Drosophila melanogaster: one gene and its partners. The protein of the gene in region 3 interacts with the protein of the main gene of each other region in a pairwise test. Each region holds a gene or a part of one and is shown on either strand. Other genes may lie near its edges. The genes, in order: CG3511, Tango9, DIP1 and Adar.

The links.
Region 1: the proteins of DIP1 (region 3) and CG3511 interact in a two-hybrid assay, tested with the Drosophila melanogaster proteins (one large-scale study listed by BioGRID).
Region 2: the proteins of DIP1 (region 3) and Tango9 interact in a two-hybrid assay, tested with the Drosophila melanogaster proteins (one large-scale study listed by BioGRID).
Region 4: the proteins of DIP1 (region 3) and Adar interact in a two-hybrid assay, tested with the Drosophila melanogaster proteins (one large-scale study listed by BioGRID).

What each region holds. Positions count from the first base shown.
Region 1 is NT_033778.4:24,569,603-24,575,003, reverse strand, and holds CG3511 (uncharacterized protein), read right to left. Parts: upstream 3,378-5,401; 5' UTR 3,297-3,377; exon of another isoform or gene 3,233-3,296; 5' UTR 3,099-3,232; coding exon 2,930-3,098; intron 2,880-2,929; coding exon 2,676-2,879; intron 2,619-2,675; coding exon 2,435-2,618; intron 2,381-2,434; coding exon 2,148-2,380; intron 2,090-2,147; coding exon 1,876-2,089; intron 1,823-1,875; coding exon 1,520-1,822; intron 1,453-1,519; coding exon 1,334-1,452; intron 1,189-1,333; coding exon 1,068-1,188; intron 1,009-1,067; coding exon 789-1,008; intron 721-788; coding exon 574-720; 3' UTR 501-573; downstream 1-500. Other genes in the region: Start1, read right to left, coding at 1-14; Fcp1 (TFIIF-interacting CTD phosphatase), read left to right, coding at 3,480-3,886, 3,977-4,070, 4,133-4,569, 4,651-4,832, 4,895-5,401.
Region 2 is NT_033777.3:11,970,479-11,976,689, forward strand, and holds Tango9 (transport and golgi organization 9), read right to left. Parts: upstream 4,433-6,211; 5' UTR 4,136-4,432; coding exon 4,068-4,135; intron 3,980-4,067; coding exon 3,832-3,979; intron 3,750-3,831; coding exon 3,596-3,749; intron 3,535-3,595; coding exon 2,759-3,534; 3' UTR 2,391-2,758; coding exon of another isoform or gene 1,622-2,390; 3' UTR 1,551-1,621; coding exon of another isoform or gene 1,416-1,550; 3' UTR 1,354-1,415; coding exon of another isoform or gene 1,298-1,353; 3' UTR 698-1,297; coding exon of another isoform or gene 553-697; 3' UTR 529-552; downstream 1-528. Other genes in the region: GC1 (glutamate carrier 1), read left to right, coding at 1-295, 356-496, 553-697; GC2 (glutamate carrier 2), read left to right, coding at 1,298-1,353, 1,416-1,550, 1,622-2,390; CG10005 (uncharacterized protein), read right to left, coding at 5,038-5,236, 5,621-6,017.
Region 3 is NC_004354.4:21,624,275-21,632,154, forward strand, and holds DIP1 (DISCO interacting protein 1), read right to left. Parts: upstream 5,875-7,880; 5' UTR 5,763-5,874; coding exon 5,700-5,762; exon of another isoform or gene 4,630-5,699; coding exon of another isoform or gene 4,570-4,629; exon of another isoform or gene 4,481-4,569; coding exon 4,087-4,480; intron 2,617-4,086; coding exon 2,039-2,616; intron 1,979-2,038; coding exon 1,781-1,978; 3' UTR 522-1,780; downstream 1-521.
Region 4 is NC_004354.4:1,775,957-1,783,843, reverse strand, and holds the start of Adar (adenosine deaminase acting on RNA), read right to left. Parts: upstream 6,026-7,887; 5' UTR 6,004-6,025; coding exon 5,821-6,003; intron 5,475-5,820; exon of another isoform or gene 5,326-5,474; coding exon of another isoform or gene 5,284-5,325; exon of another isoform or gene 5,233-5,283; coding exon 5,145-5,232; intron 5,030-5,144; coding exon 4,884-5,029; intron 4,755-4,883; coding exon 4,586-4,754; coding exon of another isoform or gene 4,464-4,585; exon of another isoform or gene 3,783-4,463; coding exon 3,600-3,782; intron 3,514-3,599; coding exon 3,233-3,513; intron 3,170-3,232; coding exon 3,019-3,169; coding exon of another isoform or gene 3,005-3,018; exon of another isoform or gene 2,644-3,004; intron 2,127-2,643; coding exon 1,961-2,126; intron 909-1,960; coding exon 809-908; intron 736-808; coding exon 256-735; intron 189-255; coding exon 90-188; 3' UTR 1-89. UniProt on the Drosophila melanogaster protein: Has A-to-I RNA editing activity on extended dsRNA: edits RNA-binding protein Rnp4F. A-to-I editing of pre-mRNAs acts predominantly through nervous system targets to affect adult nervous system integrity, function and behavior.

The DNA of each region.
Region 1 (5,401 bases), on a different chromosome or scaffold from region 3:
TCCATATTGGACATGGCGAGCGGTTATATTTGGCCTAGCTCATGTCTGGAAATAAAGGCAACTATGTACGTATACTACAATTCACATATCGAAGACAATATACCTTTGCATGCAAATGTAAATAAACCTAGTTTTCGAATCTGGAGCAGATTCAGTGCCGATACGCACAAATGACTCGTCAGCCTGGAGTTCTTTGTTTTTTTTTTACTCAGCCATAAACAAATGGTATCGTATTATCTTGCAAGAACCCGCATAATTTGCGAGAAGTACCTCTATATTTCCGGTAGGCACAGGTTGGTTATGTTAATAAGTCTCTAATACTAGAAGGTGCACAACTAATTCCGGTTCTAATAATACTATTAGATTTGCAGTTGTCCCAATTTATATTAATTGCACTATCGAAACAAAAGGAACACCGAATGCAAGAAACGAATCAGCTGTTTAGTGTGCCGGGCTGGGAAAACACCAAAAAAACCGAGTTAAAAAAAAATACCAAAATTCTTTGCGGCGCATTGGCGGTTCTCCGAAGATTTGAAAACCAGTGTCGCTGAAAGTTTTATTTTAGCCCTCTGCTCAATTACTTAAGTGTATCGAAATAATTTTAATGTCGTCGTAGGGCTTGTCCGTCTTGGGATTCGCCTTGGAATTGCAAATGTTGAGAACCACCTCCATGCCGCGGTAAACTCTTCCGAACACCGTGTGCTTGTTGTCGAGCCAGGGCTGCAATTAGAGATTGGTACTTAGTCAATCCAGTAAAGTAAACTAATCACCGCTGCATTCATCCTTACCGTGGGCAGGACTGTGATAAAGAACTGGCTTCCATTCGTGTTTGGACCCGCGTTAGCCATGCTGACCGTGTAGGGCCGATCGTGTTTCAGGCTCGGCACGAACTCGTCTTTGAAATCGCTTCCCCAAATGGATTTGCCGCCCGTGCCCGTTCCCGTGGGATCGCCAGTCTGCACCATGAAGCCCTTGATCACGCGATGGAATATGTGTCCATTGTAGTACCTGACAAAATAATGTGATTGCAATGGGACAGTTCTCAACAGTTGACGTATATATAATACCCATTTTTCGCATGAACACAGAAGTTCTCAACCGTCTTTGGAACCTCCTTGAAGAACAGCCTCATGTGGATATCGCCTTTCGTGGTGTGGAGCACCACGTTCTCGTAGATGCGTTGCACGACTAGAATAGAAGGAACATTTTGTAATGAATTGTTCTTGAAATATCTGATAGGAATAACCTTCGTCTTAAAATATTGTTGGCGTGCAATAGAAACATGTTTTGGGTTAGTTAAGAAAGGTTAATGGGATAAGCCAAACCAAAATACCTGAAGCTTCCGGCACGGCGATAATGTCCTCCTTCGAGGGCTTCTCGTTGAAAATATCGCGGTCGACATCCTGCAGATCCGAGGGCAGTCTTCGGCTGTACAAATAGAAGCGACTTTTTCTAATAAGAGTAGTAGAATGGACATTATAATACAGCATAGATATAATTCAAAACGGTATGAACTAACTTGTAAGCAGTGCAAAAGGCTGTTGGATCGTTAAGGATATTCTGGAGTGCTGGGTTTTCACTGGCCTCTTGCTCCATTGTTATAGCAGCTTTTTGGCGCTTAATTCTTCCTTGAAACAAGGCCACCTGGAGGGGCCGTATGTTGTCGGTTTTTCCTAGAATTGTGACGCAGCGATTCGTTACCACATTGATCACCTTGATGCCCAACATCGTTGGGTAGAGCAAGAAGTTGCCAGTGCTGTCGAACAAAATATTAAGGGTTGCATTCTGGGCAGTCTTCTCCAGATCCCGCTCAGCCGCCATTCTGGAATTCATATCTTTAAACCAATAAATAATAACTATTTTATTCTAGTTTACCTTCTGCCAAACTCCATGTTGGGCAGGGCGTGCTTCGTCTGCTGCATTTGGGTGTATGTAGATAGAGCTTCATCGAATACCCGGATCAACTTGCCCGTGTTGAACTGAAAGACGCGGACCTTACGATCTGTGGAAATGGCGGCAAAACGCTTTCCATCCGGCGTGGCGGCTAAACCCGTGACTTGGGTCTTCTGTTTGGCAAACTCAAAGAGGCCTAAAAGGTTAATATTTAGATGAGTCTAGGTTCACTCAGCTTAATCATCGATCTATACTTGTGTCTAGCTTGGAGTCAAAATTCACCAGACGCTGTGGAAACTTGTAGTCGTACTTCGAGTTTTGCCAGTATTCGAGAATGCCATTGCGATCGACAGAAATGACGGTCTCCATGGCCACATTCAAGCACATCGCCACCACGGGCGCCGAGTGAAGTTTCTCCAAGGTGTGAAGGGCTTCTCCGCCTCCTTGCCCGTCGTAGATGTGTATGCGGCTACTCTCTGAATCCGAGCTGGAGGAGGAGCAATCAGAATCATTAATCTCCAGATATTGATAAGGTACTTACATGGCCAGTGCTTGTACGGCATCTCCCGGCCCATTTATCCACTCACTGCACTGCGGTGTGTAGCCCAATCGAATGATGTTGATCATGTCGAAGTTGACAACATCGAAGACCTTGGCTGTCTGATCCGTGGCCGCCGAGCAGAGCAGCGTGCCGCTGTCGTTGGTGGTCAGTGATTTGATGGGTACTGCAACAAACACTTGGTTAAACGAAGAAATACACGTTATGTGGATCAAGAACCCACCTAGGTGGCTGCGAAAGTGCTTGACGAACTCGATGCCCAGCTCGCCCTTCTTCCAGAATTTGATGTGTCCATCCAGACTGGCGGTCACTACGAAATCCGTCTTCGTGCACACCAAATGAGTGATCACATCGCGGTGCATGTAGCTCCTCTCGTAGCTCTCAGCATTGGGCAGGTTTTCCAGGTAGATGTGTTCATAGGGCAGGACTATTTATTGATTAGTTATAGTTAAATGAAATCTAATTCTTAATAATAACCCTTCTTTTTCTTGGCGGGCGCGGGAGCGCTCTGCTCTGAAGGCATGGGTCCAATCCAGGCGTCTTCCTCGCCTTCCGCCTCTTTTTCGGATGACACAGATTCCTCCTGGGGCTCATTCTCCTCCTCCGGGGCACTGCGCTTCAGGTCTTCCTTGGTTTTATCACTCATTTTGGAAGTTAATAAACAAAATACGACTGAACTAGTTTGCCGCCGATTAAACAGTGTTGGTTAACGGTCAAAAGCAGCTGATTCAAATGATTCTGCGATATCTTTGGACGAATATCCTGTATTTTAACTCAAAACTAAAAGAAACGAGTAAAATAAATTGAATTACCAATTAATGGTTAATTACGCACATTAACTAACCAAATCGAAGTGAAACCCCCATCAGTACTTTCCGCCTTTCGCGCTCAGTCAGCTGTTTGAGAGCAGTTACAAAAGTTGTCCGCGCTCTTATGCGAATTCCGCGCAATATTCACACAAATTGCAAACACAACAAGGCACTGGGATTTAAACAAATCGTTTGTATATAAAAACGTAAGCCTTGCGATGCAGAACATACCGGACGAGGAGGGCGCGACGCCCAGCCGCGCGCCAGGGGGCGTGGCCGCATCTGGAGCTGCCGAAGGCGACGATGGCGGCGGAGGAAGCGGAGCCAAGAACAGCGCCAGCGGCAACAGCAACAACAACACCAGCGGTGGCGGCATCATTGTTTTGAGAGCTGCGCTGGGAGAGAACGAGGCGAGAGCGGTAATCAATAAATGGCGGGTTCGCGAGGGACAATTCGTGTCGGCGGCCCAAATCTTGTTTCTTTACCAGCCCGTGGGCGTGGACGCGAAGGACGCGAAGGACGCGGGAAAGCCGGGCGGGGACTGTGCCATCCAGAGGTACAAGTCCCAGCGCGCCGGAGTGGTGAAGAAGCGCCTTCGCAAGGAAGGGGAGCTTCTTACGAAGGGGTGAGTTTGGGGGTTGCAATCGGGCGGCGATTGGGCGTGGGGGAATGCAATTATGCAGCCGTATACACACTAACCGAGCCTGTTCTTTAGGGATGCCATTCTGGAGCTGTCCGAGTGCATACACACCACGGTCATCAAGGACATGTGCGCGGACTGCGGAGCCGACTTGCGTCAGAACGAGAATGTGAGTGCACATTGCCACCCACCTCAAGGGGCATATAGAATAATTAAACATTTAACCCGCAGGGACAGACCTCCGAGGCCTCGGTGCCAATGGTGCACACCATGCCCGATCTTAAGGTCACCCAGAAGCTGGCCCAGAAGCTCGGGCACGACGACACCCGCCGCCTGCTGGCGGATAGGAAGCTGGTCCTGCTTGTCGATCTCGATCAGACGGTGATCCACACCACCAACGACACTGTGCCGGACAACATCAAGGGCATCTACCACTTCCAGCTGTACGGCCCACATTCCCCGTGGTACCACACGCGCCTGCGCCCCGGCACCGCCGAGTTTCTGGAGCGCATGTCCCAGCTGTACGAACTGCACATTTGCACTTTTGGTGCGCGTAACTACGCGCACATGATTGCCCAGCTGCTGGACCCGGAGGGCAAGTTCTTCTCGCACAGGATTCTGTCCAGAGACGAGTGTTTCAACGCCACCAGCAAGACGGACAATTTAAAGTGCGTTTCTATACCTGAAAGCTGTTTGGATTTTCACTTGTTAAACGTGTTAAACAATAATCTACAAATTGTATATTACAGGGCTCTGTTTCCGAATGGCGATTCCATGGTGTGCATCATTGACGATCGCGAGGATGTGTGGAACATGGCTTCAAATTTGATTCAGGTTAAGCCCTACCACTTCTTTCAACACACTGGTGACATCAATGCCCCGCCGGGTTTGTCTAAGCATGAACTGGATGGCGAAGGCGTTGACTTTAAAGGTGGGTTGGGTGTTCCAGCAAGCTGACTTGAATGTTTCTAACGATATTTCCATTTGTTGCAGAGATTACCGAGAAGCATGGGGACAAAGATAAGACGGAATCCAGCAGCGAAGTCAAACCAGAAGACACCGATAAGGGTGATAATACCGTCACAAGCACAAGCAAAGATGACGATGTAAACGAGGAGTCAGTAGACGTGTTCGAAATAGAGGGCGATGCCAAGGATCCAGAGGTTTCCAACGCCTCAAGCGCTACAGAAGCACCCAAAGAGCCGAGAGACAAATTGAATGGCAAGACTAATGCTGAGGATATTGTGGTCATAGACGACAGCTCATCTGGCTCACCAGATGCTGAAAAAGCAGCCAGCGATGGCGAAGACGTAGTAGTTATTGATGATAATTCCAAGGAGAGCACAAAAGCCGAGGTGCCCCCCACACCGGCAGAAAAGAATGAGGTTGTAGCCTCATCCACCACTTCGCCGGATGAGAAGCGCCCGTCTGCTGACGCTGATGTGGCCACCACGTCTAAGACGCCCAGCTTACGAGCACCGCTCGAGGGGCAAAAGCAGA
Region 2 (6,211 bases), on a different chromosome or scaffold from region 3:
CCGGTGCATTCCAAATTATCGTCACCACGCCCATGGAGCTTCTCAAGATCCAGATGCAGGATGCGGGTCGCGTGGCGGCGGCGGCCAAATTGGCTGGCAAGACGGTGGAGAAGGTGTCGGCCACCCAATTGGCTTCCCAGCTTATCAAGGACAAGGGCATCTTTGGCCTGTACAAGGGTATCGGTGCCACAGGACTGCGAGATGTCACCTTCTCTATCATTTACTTCCCCCTTTTCGCTACTCTCAATGACCTGGGTCCACGACGAAACGATGGATCTGGCGAGGCTGTGTTCTGGTAAGTAAAGCATAATTGTCTATTTGTCATTTTTATATTTATTTTATGCTAATTAAATAGGTGCTCCTTCCTGGCGGGCTTGGCGGCCGGTTCCACCGCTGCCCTCGCAGTTAATCCCTTCGACGTGGTCAAGACGCGTCTGCAGGCGATTAAGAAGGCCGACGGTGAGAAGGAGTTCAAGGGCATATCAGATTGTATCACGTGAGTTCAAGAAATGTTGCCAATATATCCTTAAACTCATATAAATTCTCCAATAGTAAGACACTGAAGCACGAGGGACCCACCGCCTTCTTCAAGGGCGGCCTGTGCCGAATGATTGTGATTGCTCCTCTGTTCGGAATCGCTCAAACGGTCTACTATCTGGGCGTGGCCGAGGGCCTGCTGGGCTATCAGAAAAAGTAGGGCGGCTTGGAATGAGTGCGCGCCAAGGCGGATTGACAAGACCGAAGCATTTTAAATGTACTCTCTTTGAATATTGAATGTGTATGTATATCGTGTTTAAATGTTGTTAAAGCTGTCCATGAATGTAATCGTGAAGTCTCTATAGTAAGCTAAAGTAATCGAACGATGCGCCAGCCAGCGAAGTTGTTAAAGTTTTCCCCAATCCTCTTAAACTACTCAAACGATGTACTACATATGTATTTAGACCATGTCAGAAGATAACTGATGCTCCAATGACAATAAGATAAAGCAAATTAATCGCTGATATAATGTACATTTTTGGTTAATATCATAGTCTATAACTGTTGTGTTTGGATACTCTCTCTATTTAGTCTTTATTTCCCGAGCAATCCGCAGCTAGCCATGAACGTTCTGCATCAAATTGTATTAGTAATGCATTTTTCTTTGCTGCCAGGCGAAATTTACTTTTAGTGGCATTCAAGAACATGACTAGAGAAATTGTATGCTTTATAAAAACCGTCAGAATTGAACTAACGAAATATACTAATGTAAATTCAAAATTTTCGTACAACATTAATTATTTCTTGGCCTATAAAAAAAATGTTGGAACAAGTTGAGCAAAAGAACCAAGAGCAAAAAAAACCACAAAAGTTTAAGTTAATAAGTTCTACCATATGGTTAATACTACAACCTATACTTAATTGCGAACCCATCACAGCGTTTTTCCGAAAATTATAAATGGCGGCGTCGCCGGTATTATTGGAGTGGCATGCGTCTATCCACTGGACATGGTTAAGACGCGACTGCAAAACCAAACAATAGGTCCCAATGGAGAGCGCATGTACACCAGCATGTGAGTTTTGGGTTTTCGGTTTGGGTTGTGTTTTGTTATTATCCGCCTAATGGAGAACTCTATTGCCTTAGCGCCGACTGTTTCCGAAAGACTATCGCCAGCGAAGGCTATTTTGGAATGTACAGAGGCTCAGCGGTGAACATCGTGCTGATTACGCCCGAGAAAGCCATCAAGTTGACCGCCAACGACTTCTTTCGGTATCATCTGGCATCCGATGACGGGGTTATTCCGTTGTCACGGGCTACTTTGGCCGGGGGCCTGGCCGGGCTATTCCAGATCGTGGTCACCACGCCCATGGAGCTCCTCAAGATACAGATGCAGGACGCCGGGCGGGTGGCTGCTGCCGACCGAGCGGCAGGACGAGAGGTGAAAACTATAACGGCCTTGGGTCTGACCAAGACGCTCCTTCGTGAGCGTGGAATCTTCGGTTTATACAAGGGTGTGGGCGCCACTGGAGTGCGGGATATTACGTTCTCGATGGTGTACTTTCCGCTAATGGCCTGGATAAATGACCAGGGGCCACGCAAGTCAGATGGTTCTGGGGAAGCGGTCTTCTACTGGTCTCTGATAGCTGGACTCTTGTCTGGCATGACTTCTGCCTTTATGGTCACCCCTTTTGATGTGGTCAAGACTCGACTGCAGGCCGATGGCGAGAAGAAGTTCAAAGGCATCATGGACTGTGTAAATAGGACCCTTAAGGAAGAGGGCATAAGTGCATTCTTTAAGGGCGGTCTATGTCGGATAATGGTGCTAGCTCCACTATTTGGTATCGCGCAAATGTTTTATTTTTTGGGTGTGGGCGAGAAGATTCTGGGCATCGAGCGAACGAAATCTGTGTAACTTATAATTAAAGGTCTCTTCCCCCCCCTCATATTAATAAGAATTTTTTTATCCCCGAGTCGATTAAGCCATGTCCGTTTTATCCGTCCGTCTTCTACACAAGCTAGTTCCCCAGGTTTGAAGCTATCTGTATGAAACTTTCCCAAATTGGACGGCTACATCATAGAGGAATTATCCTATATAAACCAATATTTAGAATTTAATGAAATGAAATGACTTCTAGGAGCTCAATTAACATTTAATGTGTGTATTTTCTTATTGCATCTATACATATAATCGATAAGTAATCTTCAAGAATCAGCCCAGGGTTGATTTGCAGCCCATCTCTCTCATCACAATCCTTTCACCTCAGCTACTCCTCAGTCACCTTAGATCACATCCGCTGGCCGGCTGTTCGGAGCAGCCGCATTCTCAGTACCCAAATCCACGTAACGAGCACGATACCAGCGGGCCACTGCAGCTCGATACCAGTCGAGGAATAGGGCCTGTCGGTAGAGGATGATACCCATTTGCAGGATGAGGAAGCCCATGATCGTGACCAGATTCATGTACTCCCACTCCATGATAATCACAAACACCCAGATGAAGTAAACGCGTAGGCCATCGGCCAGAAGCCGGTTGGCGCTGGACGAGTACATCGCAATGTACAGTCCAATGAAGTTGTACATGGCACATGAGATGGTGAAGGCAATCAGAGTCATAATCAATGAGATACTCCCCTGCAGAGCCGCAAAGAGATCACCCCAATCGTCGAAAACTGCACGCGAACTACAGCTAAATGGATCAATGCTCGGCAGGAAGTTCATGCAAATGGCCAGCATCGAGGTGATGCCCAAGCCGAAGATTCCCTGCCAGCCAGCAGCTTGCAGTGGAGCAACATTCGAGGTTTTTAGCTGTTTCTCCTCGCAAACATATTGCAGTCCGTGCAGAATTTCAGCAATGATGATGAGTAAGTCGCCGGTCAGAATGGATTTGTAGTCCGTGTAAGGCAACGTGACCAGGTCGTATTCAACGCGATGGACGTCCAGACTGATAATGTCCAGCAGGCCGCACGATATCGTAAAGATGGCCAGCCAGTGCCGTCCGGTCAGCGTGTGATTCAGAAACATGGTGCTAAAGATGCCCACAAAGATCAGGGCGGCGCCTGCGGGAAAGATGAGGCGACGTAAGTAATGATAAGCAAGGCCACTGTCTGATAGAAGTACCTCTTATCATCTGAAAGCTGGTGGCGTAAGTCAAGTAAAGTCCGGTGAACAACAGAATGGAGGCTGCCGCATCCAGCAAAGTGGGCAATAGCATGCTAACAGGGCGGAACTCACTGCTGTCCTGCGACAAGATGCTATCCAGATCGGATATAACCTGTGTATGATTGCCAGATGATTAAAAGTTCCTTAAATACAAAAGCTTTGCCGATTATAAACCAACCGGCATTGGAACTTACTCCACGACGATTGGAGATCAGGCGGATCACCTTGAAGACCGCAAAGCACAGGAACTCGCCCAGGAACATGAGCAGTGTGAACACCACTGGATGTTGAAATCCATGAAGTTTTCCATCGCTGCCGATTACCTGTTGTTGATTGGCCCACCTGCAATGCGTACACGCACACACAGCATCGAGTGCACATTTATTTAGCACTATTACTTACTATTATTAAGCGATCTTTTGGTACTCACTTCACCACCAGAACGTTGAAGGTGCCGCTGAGCACAAAGATCAGCGACAGGAAAACACGATGATCCATTCGTCGGCGGAAGATTCACTTGACGGGTGCAGCGTTAATTCGATTTATAAATATTGACGTTCTTTGTGCAATTTGCAATTGTGACTGCGCAGTGATAAGTGCAAAAAAGTGCGGCCAGACGGTCAATTGACTGCCCTTCCACAGATCTATATAATCCACTTGAGTTGTTGTGGTCATTAACCAGTAACTTTACCTTTTTCAAGGTCAAAAACCTAAGTAACTAGTAATTTTTTTGCAAGTAGTGCGAATTAGTTTGTCTTTACGGGACTTTTGTTTATTTTTTTTCGCCAACAGTGAGACCGCACAGGCTAGCAAAAATACTACACAAAATATAGTGAGCAGGAAATCAACAACGAATATGGTCACACTACAAAGCAACTGGTGGGTTTTAAATTGGCGCGTGAAATTATATTTTGAAATTAAAACTGAATCGACACCAAAATGCTTATGGATTTAATATTAGGGAAAGTGTCACATAAAACTTCGTTGACGATCTTTGGGACTTTACAAATTGTATAAATATTTCAACAGAAAAATGGATTACTTTTGCCAAGTTTTTATTAAACACAAACTTAAAAAATATCACAGGATATGAAAAACCATTTAAATGAAAATACATGAAGTGGTGTTAATGCATTTGCCGCACAATTGCCATCAATTTGCTTCCGTTGGCGCCTGCGTCGCATTCTGTGCTAATTTCCTGTAAATAATTCAATATTATAATATAGTATAGGATCGCAAAATCGATATTTAGCAAACATTAGCAAGCAAAAACACAGTTGGCAACCAAAGCGTGTCCTGTCGCCTCACCTGTACTCTGTGGTGTTTCTTTAAGTGTTGTGATAATGTCTTTGAGTATCTTGTGTTCTATTTAAGTATCGTTTCGTGGAGTGTAGGTGTTCCTAGAGCTCATCTCGCGCCTGGGAGGACGATGGCAGCGTCACCTCCTCCACGGAGCCCAGGTGTATGGTTCTATTTGGCCGACTGAACTTTGGTATGTATGCGACCGAGTCGCTGTTGCTGACCACCGAGTTATGTAGGTGTTCCGTGGGTGCCGCGGGATCAGGACTTGTGAGTGTGATTTTCGAACCAGTGGCCACTCTGTGGAATGCATGTATGTGGGCGGGTATTGTACTGGTGGTGTGACAAGTGGACTAAATAATTCGGATAAATATTCGAATATCCTATGAGTACCTATCTGGGCCGTAACTGATTGTTGTGTACCAAAGTTAGTTATGTATGGTTAGTATAGCGCTACTTGGCTGGTATTAGATTTTGGGGGTATAGCAAAAAAACTGGTCATCTCTCTTGTACCTTATGTACAGCTTTTGGAGGTGATTGTAGTCGAAGAGGAAAGATCTAGATTGGTTGAAAAGATCTATTGGCGCTGGCGGGCTCCACCGCGTGCTCCGCGCAACTTTTGTGGGTTTCTAATGCAGATCAGAGATCGTAATCAGAGATTCGGACTCAGATCCGCCACCTTACCTGTCCCTGGCCTGCATGCTGGCCTCCACGTCCAGGTTGCGAGGCTGCCGGAAGTCGCATTCCAGCGAGAAGGCCGAATCTCCGGGTGTGATCAGCTCTGGGTCGTTTTGGATCACCACGATGTTGGTGTAGAGATCACCATCCCGGATCGTCTGGCACTGGTCCAGCTGGAAGTTCATCTCCATTGTGCGGGATCCCTGGCTGGAAGATGGCTTCATGAAGCACGGCGCAGACTGCTTGTAGAAGCTGCCACGAGTGTACATCACACCCATGAAAGGCTTCTCCGTCTCCAGCACCACGTTCATGGAGTCCGCTCCGCACTTGAGGTTAACCTTTTGAATGCCCTGGTCGCTGCCCTCGATTTTAAAGGTGTCCGAAAGGTCTTGTTCCCAGATTTCTGCAATAGGGCGAAACAATTTCATGCTTGACATTAAAGGTGGTTTATGTAACACGTTTCTATGCTATTAAGTAAAAATATCTGCTTCTTTTGCTTTTTAATGTAATGTTGTACGTTTAGTAAACTAGGTATAATTGTTCCAATTAAAAAAATGCAAGTAACTAAACATAAAAGCCTGCTTAAGTTCTTCAACT
Region 3 (7,880 bases):
TTTCCAACTCAGCGTCCGATCAAGGTGAACTCCGAGGTAGCAATCGGATGAGACATAGTCAATTGTATTTCCGTCGAAGAGAAGACCTAGGCAGGTTTGAGGTCGCAGGGTAAATGTGACACAGGCCGACTTAGTGCAGTTAATGGTTATGTTCCATTTGAAAGTCCATCGATCGATTGCATGCAGCCATTCCTGAACTGCATTGGAAGCGAATTGCAAGGATGAGGGCGACGCAAGCATGGTGTCATCAGTAGGTACGTGGCCAGGATCAGCTGAGCAGGGGACGACTCATCGGTGTTGTTGACGGGTGTTGCATGTCAGCAGTGTACAGGGTTTGTGAAACCACTTCGCGGATTTCACCCAGGGAAACGCGGCGGTACAATACTTCAGTGTATGTCGTTTTATTCAAAATAAATGTATAATTTAAAAGCTGTCTCAATCAAGAGCATTGGGCAACATTGGACAAATACTCACTCTCATCAAGTATGAGCACAAGAAATCAAAATGCACTTTACAATTTTATATTCAATACATGTACTTATGTCTTCATGTTTTTAAAAATCAAGTAATTATACCACCCATTTAGCTTAATCTAGTTTACGACAAAAATGTAATTCACTGGTAAGCATAATTAATATTTGATACCCAATCTGCCACTGAAATCCTCTTCTGTGGAAGCGTTTTCAAAAAAACCAAACCCACAGTGTGTCGCAAAATACACGGAAAAAATTAATCAGCATTACCAAGGAATCCTGCGTTTAGATTATTCGGATAATCTTATCGGCTCTTGCAGTTCAAAATTATTCGTTGTTGAAAACGGCTCCGGCCCACCTAAAAAATCATAAGTAAGAGCTGTCCCAAATACAAACTAAATTGGGAAATTCTTGTTTAATATGCCTCTTCACTTTGACAGAAAAGGAATTCTTAAAGTTGCGCCATTGACGTCAGGGTCGCAATCTTCTGATTGCTGTCCGTTAAGAGAGGCATAGGTGTGTTGTCGTCGGCAGTTGGAGTCTGCGGTTGGAGTTGGTGTCTTAAGTGGTGTCGCTTAAAGTTGCGCCATTGACGTCAGGGTCGCAATCTTCCGATTGCTGTCCGTTAAGAGAGGCATAGGTGTGTTGTCGTCGGCAGTTGGAGTCTGCGGTTGGAGTTGGTGTCTTAAGTGGTGTCGCTTAAAGTTGCGCCATTGACGTCAGGGTCGCAATCTTCCGATTGCTGTCCGTTAAGAGAGGCATAGGTGTGTTGTCGTCGGCAGTTGGAGTCTGCGGTTGGAGTTGGTGTCTTAAGTGGTGTCGCTTAAAGTTGCGCCATTGACGTCAGGGTCGCAATCTTCTGATTGCTGTCCGTTAAGAGAGGCATAGGTGTGTTGTCGTCGGCAGTTGGAGTCTGCGGTTGGAGTTGGTGTCTTAAGTGGTGTCGCTTAAAGTTGCGCAATTGACGTCAGGGTCGCAATCTTCCGATTGCTGTCCGTTAAGAGAGGCATAGGTGTGTTGTCGTCTGCAGTTGGAGTCTGCGGTTGGAGTTGGTGTCTTAAGTGGTGTCGCTTAAAGTTGCGCCATTGACGTCAGGGTCGCAATCTTCTGATTGCTGTCCGTTAAGAGAGGCATAGGTGTGTTGTCGTCTGCAGTTGGAGTCTGCGGTTGGAGTTGGTGTCTTAAGTGGTGTCGCTTAAAGTTGCGCAATTGACGTCAGGGTCGCAATCTTCTGATTGCTGTCCGTTAAGAGTGTCCGTTATGTGTGTTGTCGTCGGCAGTTGGAGTCTGCGGTTGGAGTTGGTGTCTTAAGTGGTGTCGCTGTAGGTGAAGTTGGTGCCGAACAGAGAGTTGCACACTTTCACGGCCACGTTGCGACGGGCGATTTTCTTTGATCTGCCGTTGGCGTGGAACTCCTGGTTGTCCACCATGATTCCCAGATGCTGCATGCCGTTGGTCTTGTCGCCAGATGACCCGTAGTCCACGTAGTTGAGTCCCGGACGCATCTGCAGAGGAATTGATTACTGACACTGTACATAGTAAGGTAGTAAGGTGGGCTGGCCTACAATGCAAAGAATGGTCGCCGGGTGCATGGTCTCCCAGCCAGAGGGTAGCTCGGTGCGCACTGGCGGCTTCTTTGGCTCCTTCGGCACGGGGGGAACTGGAGTTCCGGCATCCCCTCCCGCCTGTTGGGCAGCATTGGCCGAAGGGTGCATCTCGGGCACGACATAGCCCTCCCGTTCCCACTCCGCGAACAGCTTGTAGATGGCAAACGAGGCCAGATTCAACATGGGCAGATCATCATCCGGTGCATCGGCCTCATCCTCGTTGATATCCATTGGCTCCGAACCCATCTCCACCTGGTGAATACGGGGCGGCTTGGGGGTCATTTTTGCAATAATAAAATCGCGCCAAGCCTTCTCGCAGGCCGCGTTCTTGGCTGTCATTTTCGAGGTACCCTTGCCCTCGTACTGATTCGAGTTGACAGTGACAACGGCCGTGAATCCCCCGTCGGTATTGCTGTCGATGGTGAAATCGCTGATGGTCACGCCCTTCACCTCGTTGAGGGCCATCAGAGCGTTCTTGGGGAGCATGGACTTGCGCAGCTGGCGGTTCTGTCGCAACTTCTTGTCCCGAGTGCGTTCTACGATAGAGTTAATAGACATATATACAAGAATATATAAAAATGAAATTTGAAGTTGTAAGTACAGCTGTGTTCATAAAAATAGCAGTGCGAGGGAAACTAAGTAATACAAATTTTTCCATGTCCCTTTTCGGAATCGACTATTTGTTCCACTTGTTAGTGTAAAATGGAATGTGTAGATAGGAATAAAAAAAAAAGAAAATTCCCTTAGCTTTACATGCCATCCTTTTTTATTTTTTATTTTTCATTTTCATTCTTGAGTAAAATCACAACTTTTAGGCTGTTCATAAGAATAGCAGTGTCTGGTTTTGACCAACGTAAAGTCCCGAAATTATCAATATTTTCTAAAAAGTGAGTTCGGTTAAGTTAATTCGTATATTTAAAAGGGCAATAAATTAAAAAAAAAAATAAAAAAAAAATATATTTTAGTGGCTAAAGGACAGCACTGCTCCCAGGAGAAAAGAATGTTAATTCTTAAGCTAAAAAAGAAAGGAAAAACATATAAGGACATTCAAAAAACCATACCAAACGTAAAACCACAGATATAGAGGATCGACGCATAGTTCGTTAAAACAAAGTCTATTCTTTTGCATACTCTAGGGACATGAAGTCTGAGCTGAACTTGGGAATCAGTGACGTTGCAATTCGGAGACGACTACTTAATCAAAATTTAAGTGCGAAGAGCCCACGAAAGGTGCCCCTACTTAGCCAAAGGCATATTCAGACAAGGATAAACTTCGCTATGGGCTAGTTTTTTTTACAATGGTATGAGTCCATAAAATATGATTTTTGGTATTATAGACCAAAAGCGCATATGTAAATATTCTTAGTGATGTCTTACTGTCATATTCTTAATATAATATGCCCTTAAAATGGTCATTCCAAAAGGATAATAATCCGAAACGTAGAAGCAAATCGGCTAGGTTCACCCAAAATAGAATAGATGCCGAGGACAGCACCATCTTCCGATTTAAACTCGATTGAAACCCTGTGGGGGGACATTAAACAATATGTGTCGAAGAACTGCCCGACGCCTAAGGCTCAGATTTGACAAGTTGTGCAGGATGCATGGTCGAAATTCCCCCCAAGCGTTGCCAGGACCTAGTGGACACCATGCCGCATGGGTGTAAGGCTGTGCTAGCTAACAAAGGCTATCCAACCAAGTGTTATGCCGTAATTAACATATTAAAAAGAAAAAGAATTTCTGCCTATTATGTTGTTTTAATCTACACTTTTGAAACTATTGAAGGAATAAATGTGAAACATGTTTTGAATTGTTCAAAATTAAATACCTAATGATATTATAAAAAAAATGGACCAATAAAACTATAAAACATAGGAATTTTTTATCTTAAACTCGCAACACAACTGTAAGTAATTTCCGGTCTGCCCTTCCATAAGAAACCTAGTGCTTTGTGTGAGCGTGTGAAAATTCTGGGAAATCTGATCACCAAAGGTTTCCTCGCTTACCAGACGACTTCTTGCGCTTTTGGAAGATTTTTTTAAATGGGATCTTGCCCCCGATGCCGCTGGCACTGGTACTGGCACTGGTATTGTCCTCTATATTGTCGACGGACGGTTCATCGTTGACAGAGATCGGCTCCTCCTTGATGATAACTGGCATGGGCAGTTTGGAGGCAATGGCGTCCGCATCCGGATTATTCTGCTGGTCGGACGAGTTGGCCAGTTGAACGGGGGCAGGAGCCCCTGGCGACTGAACAGCCAAAAATGCGTCCTGTGGCGATTGAACAGCCACCGGGGAGGCCGATGTCGGATATAAAGCCACCGGAGAAGACTGCTGCTCCTGGACATTGGCGGCCTGCAACGGCATTTGGATCAAAGGCTTGACGGTGGCATTGGGATTCTGCGTTTGCGAAAGAGTTTCATTAGTCGATTAGTTAGCGAAGGCAACGGGTTCCGCCTGGCTCGCCAGGCTACCCTAGACAAAATCACTTGCAGCGGACTGGTCCAGTGGGTCGACAAAAAAGCGACTCGCTGGCCAACGGAAACCATCAAGTCGTCAAGTTACCCGGAACCGTCAGGGTGGTCGGCTGGTCTACTTAAAACCATAGTTCCGGAACTAGCCATGGCCATTCCTGCGACCCAAGTGCCCCGAAACGAAGCTCTGCACCAACGGAGCCAACTGCCCAGCGACTGTGGATCTCCGTTTATCGGATCCAGCCGAGGACTCCGGGACCAGGTAGTCTATGCTAATCTATGAAAATCAGGTGTACTGCACTATTAGGGTAACCAATGTCTCTTTAATTCAATGGGCATAAAAACCGCAAAGTCCGGTTAACAAATAAATTCAGTCTCATGGTGAGTTAACTTTTCGCTAATGTATTCTGTTTGCAGAGAGGTTCGAGAAAATCTAATTCTAATTCTAATAGAATTTTCTCCGATATGCAAAAATAGAGTAAAATAATTGACTATCGACCTATACGTTTCACAATTCTGTCTATTTTAGCATGAAACAATAGTTATGGGGATCCTTCGGTCATCGGCTGAGTTCATGGTCGCCGGCTCGTTTCGGGCACTTTCGGTGGAGTGAATGGGCATTGCTATCTGACCCAAAACTAATAATTTTAGTTACAGTTTCGGGTGAATGCATTTTCAGTAGCCATAAAAGTTAGCGATAACCGCAAGTCCAGCGTGAAACTATAGCAGTGCTGGCCATATCTAGTTGATCGAAAGCACGAACGGAGTGGAATGAGTGCAATGCAAATGGGTGGGTTACGAATGTAAGGGGAGAGGGGAAGGTGGTGGATGTCTGGGGGGTGCATTGTGAATGCTGGTGGAATTCGGACAACGGTCTGCACTTTCGATTAACCCGCTTTTAGTGGCTATTGCAAATGAGTTCACAATTGTGGTGAATTGTGAATGAACACTTTCACTTTGTGCGCTGCAAATTATAGAAATAAAAACGAAAACTTTGTTATTTCACAAATCAAATATGGATGATTCCAACAATGGTTTTTGTTTTCGTGATGCATTTTCACTCGGAATACATATCTTCGTGACGTCACAGGGAATTCTTAACTCACACTCCTGCACACACTTGCAAAAAAAATTAAGATTCTTACGTAAATGCCTCCAAAGACAAATGGCTTGTTGTTTCCAGCAAATGCACGACGATTTCGCTTCATCTTGATTTTTTTTGTAATTTAATTTTTCACTTTTGTAATTCGCTTTTTCGCTTTTGTAATTTAATTTTTCACTGCTCAGGTCACAGAAAGAATCGTACTGCACTGAAGTAAAAAACTTAAGTAGGGATGTCAAAATATATGTAAATATATCGATATTTTTCACATATTTCGAAAATCGTTTTTAGTATTAAATATATTATAGACATTTCACACTGGCCATAGTAATATAAGCAAAGTGATGGAAAGACGGCGGAAAAAAAAGAGCAGACCAAAGATTTTATTGTGAAATAATTAAAAGCATGCTAAAAATAGCACGACGATGCTCTTTGGAAGTGCTTAAAAGTTATTGCGAAAATTTAGAATTGAAACAGTACTTCTGTATATCGCGAGAATATTATAGCTGTTAAATTGTGTGCATGGTAATTCCCTACATTTTTGTTTGACTGACTGACATTCAAATGTATTAAGAAAATAGTATAGAACTCGAACCATAAGCGCATGACTTTTCATGACTTGCAAACACAATTTGCCTGTCTGCAGCGTGGGCAAAATCTATAACGTCAACAAAAAACAGGAAATGTTTTCACACTGTGTTAACAAAAGTTTTGCGTTTCCTCAACTACAGCAATAGGAAAGTATGCGACTTTGTAAAAATGAACACCAAATCAACTGAATTAACTATCTACATTGGGATTAATAGGTGTGTTTTTCATATTATGCATATATTAAAAAAATACTAATGCTCAAAGTAAGGTAAGATACCTGTTACTTAGATAGTGGGAGTGCGACGGAAAATTTTCGACATTATTTTTGCATATCTATAGAAAGTTGCAAGACAAAAATTTTATTTAAAAAAATGAATATTTTTCAAAAGTGTGGGAATGACAGTTTTGGATAAACGAAAAATAGAATAGGTGTTCACACTGTGTTCACAAGAGTTTTGCGTTTCCTCAACCACATCAATAGGAATGCAAGCGAACTTATGAAAATTAACTATCTGTGTTGGGATTAATAGGTCAGTTTATCATATTTTGCAAATATATTTGCTATATATTTATATATTAATCGAGGTTTTTATTCTTTTACGAATATTTAAGCAGTGTCAAACTGCGCTGCATAGGCATACAGGCATAGTCCCTTAAGGTTCGCGAGGTTTCAAAGGTCACTGATTGGGCAGACGGAAAAAAGAATATGGGACAGCTCGACTCGTCTTGTGATCCTGGACTTACAGGGAACTCAATACACACATATACCAACCCACTTGCAGAAAATCAAAATCAAAATCAGAGTACGACTTACCGCGTATTTTGTAACTTTTATATTGTAATTGTAATTTAATGTTTCGCTGCTTAAGTCACAAAACTATTGACGAAAACAAATCAGGATCAAATAAAAACCACAAGGTAACCATATTTCTATGTTTAAATTGGAATATCTGAAATAAAGTGGTCCAATATTTTTAACTGAGGTCCACCCAAATAAAACGCCAAATAAAATACCTAATACTGTCGCAAAAGTTTTCTTCACTGCGGTACAAGAGCATGACCGAAATCAATATACGGTGTCCACGAATAGGAAAATCGTACACTGACAATAATCTAGTGTCAAATTTGTATAGCACCTATTAAAACAACGTTCTCAACGAGAAAACTTAAAGATAACATCTTAAATATAATTGTTTAGTCGCGTTTCCACATATGCACATACGCACATGTGCCAGTTTGAATTTGAAAATGAAATATGTAGAAACCAATTTTTAAACAAAAAGACATGAAAATACATGAATTTTGTTTTGTGTATATCAGAAGACTTGATTTGTGGGTTCCTTTCGTGAGTCTTCTTTTGATTTCTCTCAGTTGCTTTATGACGCCGGGCGCGTGCGCATTTAAAACAATTCTCGAAAGAAATGTTCACAAATTAGTTTAAATTCGAAAACGTTTCGGTATGGACGCAAGAAAAAGGAATTCTAAGAAATAGAAATTCTAAGCGAAACAACAACGAAAAAGGAAAATAATTTAAATAGGGATAATAATATACAAAAACATAACAACAAAAACACAACGGTATTAAGGAATCTGTTTCAGAATTTCAGTGAGTTAAATCTGTTAAAAAGTTCTG
Region 4 (7,887 bases), about 20 Mb from region 3:
TTTGTCATAAAATCTATGTCGTCTAATTCTATTAATTGCTTGCCGTTGCTGTTGTCTTTTTTAAAATTATATAATAGTGCTGAGTGCAGTCATTCGGCAAGACCGAACTCGTCTTGTTCAATGGGTTTCTTCAGCCAGCTGCCAAGGTCTTCTCGCTTGAATGCAGAGAACAATTCTAGCTTTGCGATCTACAAGAACAGATGTGGCAAACAATTTGATGCATATCCTCAAATGATCCAGCATATAAACACTCACCTGATAGTCCTTAACGTTAGCTTTGGTTTGCCCATAGTCAGTGGTTACTTTGCGGACTAAAATACCGGGCAAGTTTGCCATTAGAAATCCATACTTAACGAAAAACGCCTGCTTTGTGATGCGAGACACCTGGCCGCCAATGGTTCGACCGGTTAGCGAGTTCACCACTTCCAGCTCGGTGTCCCCAATGGTCCAATTGATCCCGAAGTTGGGAGCCTTGGCCTGATTCCGCGGCTCGGCCGAAGTGACTAGTGCCAGGCGCGGCTTGTTCAGATGGTACGGCGGTGGCAGGCCTTGAATGGACTTCTCAATTCGGCCGCAAACTGCGCGGTACATGTGCTCCGGATGCAACAGGCTTCCCAGCACAATCGAATGCAGGTACACCGGTTCAATTATGGAAGACAATAGTGAGCCTTGGATGCCCACGATGTTCCAACGGGCAATTTTATCCGAGCACGACATTGTTAGCAGGCGTTGGCCCTGCACAAAAGTCATAAATGTTGTAATGTTGATGGTTTACCACGATCTAATAGCAACCGCCCAATCGGGTTACCTGCAATACGCCATCCCACGTCTGGATACCATCACTGCTTTTCACTGGAATCGTCCCCTCACCGGACTCGATTTTGGTGCGCAGCTGGCCACGAGCTTTTCTGTTGATTGATGATTATTTCATGTATGATTCGTTGTCGGCATTATAAAATGTGAGTATGGAAAATATAATTATTAGCTTGTTCAAAAACTACGTTTAAAACATGCCAAGTAATACTGGAAACAAAACATGGTATGAATTACTTCATTATGTGGTAGGGAGTGGCGGGCGGCAAGGCTTATCATTAAAATTCATTTCTCACATATACTTCAAAGTAATCCCTCAGACCGGCACCTATTAAATCTGATTCAAATGGTAGGTACTTTTATGCTTAACCTATTTCGAACTGTCATTTTAAACGATTGTTGCAAACAAGAAAGGAAACTTCGGAGCTCCGAAGTTTGTAGACGGACATTGCCATATAGACTATGCAATAGTTTATTAATAGCGGAAGAGATGCCTTATTCTCTGCGTTCTATAACAACTGCAAGGGCATACAAATACGTATTTAACAAAATTGTGGAAGCGGAAGCCCATGTTTTGTATATCCTTGTCATCTTAATCACTTGACTGAATCGTTACAGACACATACATACAGACAACGGATGGCGAATAAAAAGCCGGGGGCAAATACATTTCTAAACAGACTCAACACAAAGAGTAAAAGCTTTAAAATACCTGATTTCTTGTATACATTCATGCTCATGTTCAAATTGATAGTTCTAATATTTAATATGAACAATTTCGTGCATTATGTTGCCACAAATTGAAATGAAAGTGTGCGATATAGTGCTTTCTTCTTTTGGCATATGCTTGCATTCCAGATTTTAAAAGTTATTTATAATGAACAAATGTCGCAATTTCATTGACGGTAACTTGTGGCATTCTTAAGCACGCAATTGTACATATACAAATATATATTTTTTTTATGCAAATACAAATTTTTTTTGCAATCTCAACGTGTTTCCTGCAGGGAAATGTCGTTTCTTATTGCGTACAAATATAAATCATTATAATTCTACTTGAATAATACAATTTAAATGTGTAAATAGGTAGAGAAAGTATTCTTCATATAAAAATATCGAGTATTTATAGAATGCAGTTTGTACCAACCTATTTGGATGTTTATCAACACCAGTGTCGTTTTCGTGAGGACTAAATATCCGTGCATCCCCACAAGGTGCTGTATTTATATACAAATGGAAATGTACCCCGGATTTTAGTTTATAAGGGTATTGCCCATCAGTATTCCTCACGAAAATCGACTGATATGCTGTGGCTAAATTTAGGAGAAAATTGAATAAGAGTAATCAAATATAAATTAAAGTAAAACGAAGTAGTTTTATGTTTAAATCTCATTCTTTTCACCAATACGCAAAGGTATACATGAAAAGAAGTCCAACAAAACAATGCGAAACATGTTTTAGTAAGAATGTTAAGCTGGGAAAGCAAAATGCCAATCGCAAAATACTACGCAACTTATACATATTTTATGATTTTGTTTTGAGCCAAAGGCAAATACCTTTTCCTATAATGCCCACTCTTATTTCCAAGTCAAAAGAACTATCATTAATTGTGTTTCCGATAGGTGAGTTTTGACTTAAGAATACTAAATGTGTTCACTGGGCCCAAATCATGCCACAGGCATTACATTGAATTCAAAAGAAACAATGTTACTTTAGAAGCTTTCCCTTTGCTACTTAATAATTGGTTTGCAATTTAGATAATAATTCAATGAAATAGTACAACTGAAATGTTAGTAATTAAGTAATTAAGGTAAATGCCATTCAAAATAAAGGATATTCGAGATTTTTAATGTTTGTGCTTAGATTTGATAATGTTTACAAATTGTTTATTTTTAAGATGGTTTGCCCTTAAAATTTAATTTTGTATAAACACCTTCTAAAACGATCAGACGGGGAAAACATAAGTTAGCTTAAAGTGCTTGTTTATAATGTGTAAAAGAAAGAAAAAATAAAAGTTTGTGCTCGTATACGGTTAATGAGCACAAATCGGAACTTTAGCTTCTATGTAGGCAATTCTTGCTGGTAAAGCGTACATTTTCGATATCAACATTTAACAACTAGATTATGCATTACTCTTAGATTTAAGTTCTATGGTATTATTAGTATACGTAAACTGAACTTAGCATATACATCAAACAACTATACCCTGATTGCACTGAAGGTCCAGCTGTGCATATAAATATTTGAGAAGACAACGCCTGGAGACTATTTCAGCATGGGAATCATTTAGGACAGCTCCGTTCACACTCATATGCTCACCGCTGACACACTTGGTGCCCGTCGAAACTGAAATAACCTGATCAAGGATGGGTTTGGCATTATAATTGGTTTCGCAATGCTTCGCTGGCTGCGGACTCACTTTGGCTTCACAAAAATTCATGTTTTCAGTCATTACAATGCCCGCTAATACCTTTCGACGCGAGTAAGCCTCCTGGCCCTTGATTACTTCCATGAACTTTTCTAAGACCAACCGACCAATCGTATCCGCGTGTATCTGAGGCAACTCCATCGATGACGACTTGTCGTCGATTGGCAGGGGTACGTTCTTCTGTGGCACCACCATTGGACTGTAGGAAATATTGCATAACGAAGCAAGTGCCGCCTTAGCTGCCGCATTTTTCGCCGTCTTTTTGGAAGGACCTTGAGAAAAATTGAGTTACACATTAGCATACATTGTATGTGGCTGGGTGGGTTGACGTTAACAACGAGATAATTCAACTACATACCTGTTCCATCGAACTTCTTTTCGTTGATTGTGACGGTCATTTTGAAGCGACAATTGTTCTGGGCGCCGTCAATATTAATGCATTCGAAATTAACGTCATTAAATAATTCGTAGAGGAGCATGACAGGACCCTTATCTGGAACCTTCTTCTGACCGTCAACAGTAATAGCACTTTTGCTGACATCTAGCAATATAAAACAAAATTAGCTGGGGATATTTGACTGCTCGTCACTCTGAAGCTACGCCTTAGTTTTCTAATCTTATTTCAGACGCAATAGTGGTCTCTAGCCATATCAGACAAACGCGAGGGGAACAATGAACAAGAAACACAAGAAACTTATAAAAACGTAGAGATCAACCAATGAAAGTCAATTTAAGTAAGCGTACGACACTGAAGCACAGAATTGGTTGCTCTATTAAGCATAATGTGCTGAATAAGGCGCATTAATAAAAGGAAAAAAAAAAAAAAAAAAAAAAAACAAGAGAAAAACAGGACTCAAGTACACCGAGGCCTTTTAGTAGCCGATTGTTGGGTTATTTATTAAAAATGGGTTCAGTAAGTAAAAAGCATTCTCTTTGGCCTATAAAAACTTCAGTCCAAATGAGCTGTGTGTGCTCTCATACAAATAACACAAACGATACCAAAATCAACATTGCGAACCTTACGGCACTTTAAACATACATATTTGCTTAAAATCATTGATAACAATTGATTTTGTGACATGGCCGATACTATTGGATATTCGGCCAAAACATTGCTATTAGATGAATGGAGACATCTTTGATATGGCCACAACGCATAAGGTTCCAGAATAAATTATATTAAATAATAAATTAAAATAATTAACAAAAGAGGATAAAAACACTAATACTTGCTCTGACTCATGCAAAACGTGGGTTGTTCAAGCGAGGTAGGGTTGGATAGCTTTTCAGTCAACATCGTCTGAATGATCTCAAACATTTTTGAACTGGACAAATTTTCAATACCATTTTCAAGATGTTCATCGCTGGTAAAGTCCAAGTTGCCCGCCGGCTTCAGAGGCGACAGAACTGCTCCATCCTTAAACTGTATAAAGCTGCGCAGTGCAGTTGCTGCTGCTTCGATGCGTGCAACTTTTTTACTACGGCCCTGGCCCAAGTATTTCTGTCCATCGACCTGTGAATTAGATTAGAGAACTTGAGATCGCAGGTTCCGTTCCTTTGATAATTCCTCAAAGCGACCTCCTCATGTTTCAGCTCAGTGGTCGATCGCTCAGAGGGTCCGATGGGTTTAAACATATCTTACCTCCACGGATATCGTGAATAGAGGTGCGTGTACCGGACCAGTCTGTGACTCCAATTTGTAAATCAGTCCATGTCTTAGCTCATTCAGCATGGCCACCGTGTTCTTCGGCTGGGGAATGCGCTCCTTGCACATTTTCTTTTTTGGATCTAGTGAAACGAAATGGCGTTGGGAATCAGTGTACTAATTCGCATTTGATCTAGCAATCTGGGATATGCCCGCATGGCACATTGGGCACATCCTAGTGCTTGGGGATGGACTTACCAGAGTATTTTGGCATCTCATAGCCACGTTTTTGTGGCAATTTTCGGTTATAGCCATTCATGTTGATATCGGATGGTGCACTCACCGGCTATGGATACGTATGCATTAATAGTGAAATCAAGAGTATTTAGGCATTTACTTTTAACACTGTACAGTACAACGAAAAGCATTCAAACTTCATTTTAAGGACCCGTTTTGTGTGTAGGCATGTAGTAACTCGCGTCTTCTAGAGGACTTGCTTTTTATGGCACCAAAGCAAGTATCATTGACACGGTTCTTCATTTGATATTACCATATATATCAAATATTGCCGAATTGAATTATGCACTTCTAGAAAGCAAAAACATGACTTAGAGACCAATCATGGTACATACATACACACAACGCTTTGTTTAATATTACGCACAACAACATCGATACCATATAGACAGTTATAGCAAGACGTTTGTAAAACAATAGCACACGAATACGTTTAGTTACAACGACTTTCTCACACATTTTGCTCGGTTAAAATATGTTCATATAATTTTGTGTTATATTTTTGGTAGTTTTTTGTGGGCTTACGGCTAAAAGGCATACAAATATTAAACTACATGTTGTATCTCTCCTTGAGTGCGAGTTTGTTTCGGTTCAGTTTGGTTTGAACACAGAGTTCGGTTGGACTAAATCTACTTACATTGCCAGGCAATGATGGGAACGTAAATCGGCGCTTAACAAAAAATCGTGACCTTTTTCCTGCATAACTAGAGGCGGCATAAAACTGTTGACGTTGGTAACCAAATGAGGATCGAGCTACTCGCATTGCATGGTGGCATGATTTGTAGCACGCACGCCCTGGTTTGTAGGACACTGGATACATTATTGGTCCACCTATTTCACTGCTATTTCTGTTGCAAGAAAACTGAGCAGCGAGCATCGAGCAACGATATGACATTCAAGACCGTCTACAACCCAGCGACTGATAAATTTCGAGTTTCCCGGCTAAGCACTGACATTTATCTGACAACGACAAAAGCCAACTGCAGCTAATTTTGTAGAAGGAACTGCAATTATGAAAAAAAAATTTTAAAAATGTACATACATGTGTAAAAACACATGTTTGTAAGTGTGCAGATAATTTGCGCGACTAGCTGCGATCTCGAGGAGCTCGATATTTATATACCCTTTTAAAGGGAAGGCACATGTGCCATGCCAGTCCGTTTCAGTGCAAGGCATTCGGGGACACTTCAAAGGGCTGGGCTGAAAAGGTATCTGATAGGATACTGGGGAATTCGTTTGATTTGCTCCCTAACCCGTACCAGTACTGGCCGAAAAAAAAATACATAATAAGCTGTGTTAGCCATCTTTTTTGAGTCGAGCATGGAATTAATTTTGAAAACCACTCTTAAGGGGGCACCCGTTCTAATCGAAGGACATCAACCTTGCTTTAATGGCAGGTGTCATTTGTTTTGCAATTGAACAGAAAGCACGGTGCATGTCGAAAATTGAGATGCTTTGGCGCTGATAAAACTTTCGCAGACGCCCAGAAGGCAGATTTCGTCGAATTAATGAAGTCAAAATGTCAGAAAGACATTACCAACCCTACAGCATGAACGAATTTACATTAAAATTTGGATGTCGGTGGAGCGGTTATTGCTGCAGCAGCTGCAGCACAAACTCAGAGATGCATGAGTTGCATTGGCGTATCAAAATCTGCAGTAATCAACAGCAACATTTTAAAATAAATATCTTGCGAAAATGTGTGCGTGTACATATACTAAGACTCCGGGATATACGATACACATTTGCGGAATCACTCAGTTCGAAGAAATTATATTTATGGTCAAAGTTTGGAGCAATTGGCGCTTGCAGTCTCGTAGTTTATTTATGTGCGCATAGGTGGCTAAAAGGACAGCTCACCGAGCTGCACGGCAAGTACGAAGAATACCTTTAAAATTTCTTTATAATTTCAATAAGTAGATATATTGCCTGCCCAAAGTGGGAAACAATAAATGTGAAATGCCCAAAGTGTGTTGTGAACAAAGCACGAAATAAACAAGTGAAACAATCGGAAACTCGTTAGGCTCGAGAAATATCCTCTGTCGCTGTTCTGACCATTTCGAATTCATTACAACATATTTATATAACACAGCACCTGTGTGTTGAGTGTCATTTGTCGGACAAGTGATGGCGAAAATTGTAAATGTCTAGTATAATAGGACCGGACCGGCCAGCTTCAAGTACTAATGAACATCAAGTACAACATCAAGCATAATTCCGTTCTTAAATTATGATCAGTTTTTTCATTTTAAATAAACACATCGAAAAAGAATAATAAGAAATTCCTTTGGGGAACTTAGGTGGTGTTGTGATTCATAGCAAAAGAAATGTTGAAAATAAAGAGGATCTATAGGAAAGCAAGGTATAAAGTTACCTACCATTTAATCATAAGTATCTTATGCTATTTAAAAACGAGTTGCAAAAATGGAAAACGGAACAAGAAAGTACACCAGAATATAATGTAATTGTCCTAAAACTACGAATCATGCCATATGGAGTATAATAATTGCACATAACTACGCCTAATATCATGCTATATTGTTTAATAGTAATAATACGTTTACATTTATGCATAGGAGTCTACGGCAAGATCAAACTGAACCATATCGCTTCCAGCCAATATGCAGTCTTATTACCATGAAAGACCCAGAATAACCCCGGTCCTCGTGACCAAAGCCTCTTACTTCCTGGATGAAGCCTCTTA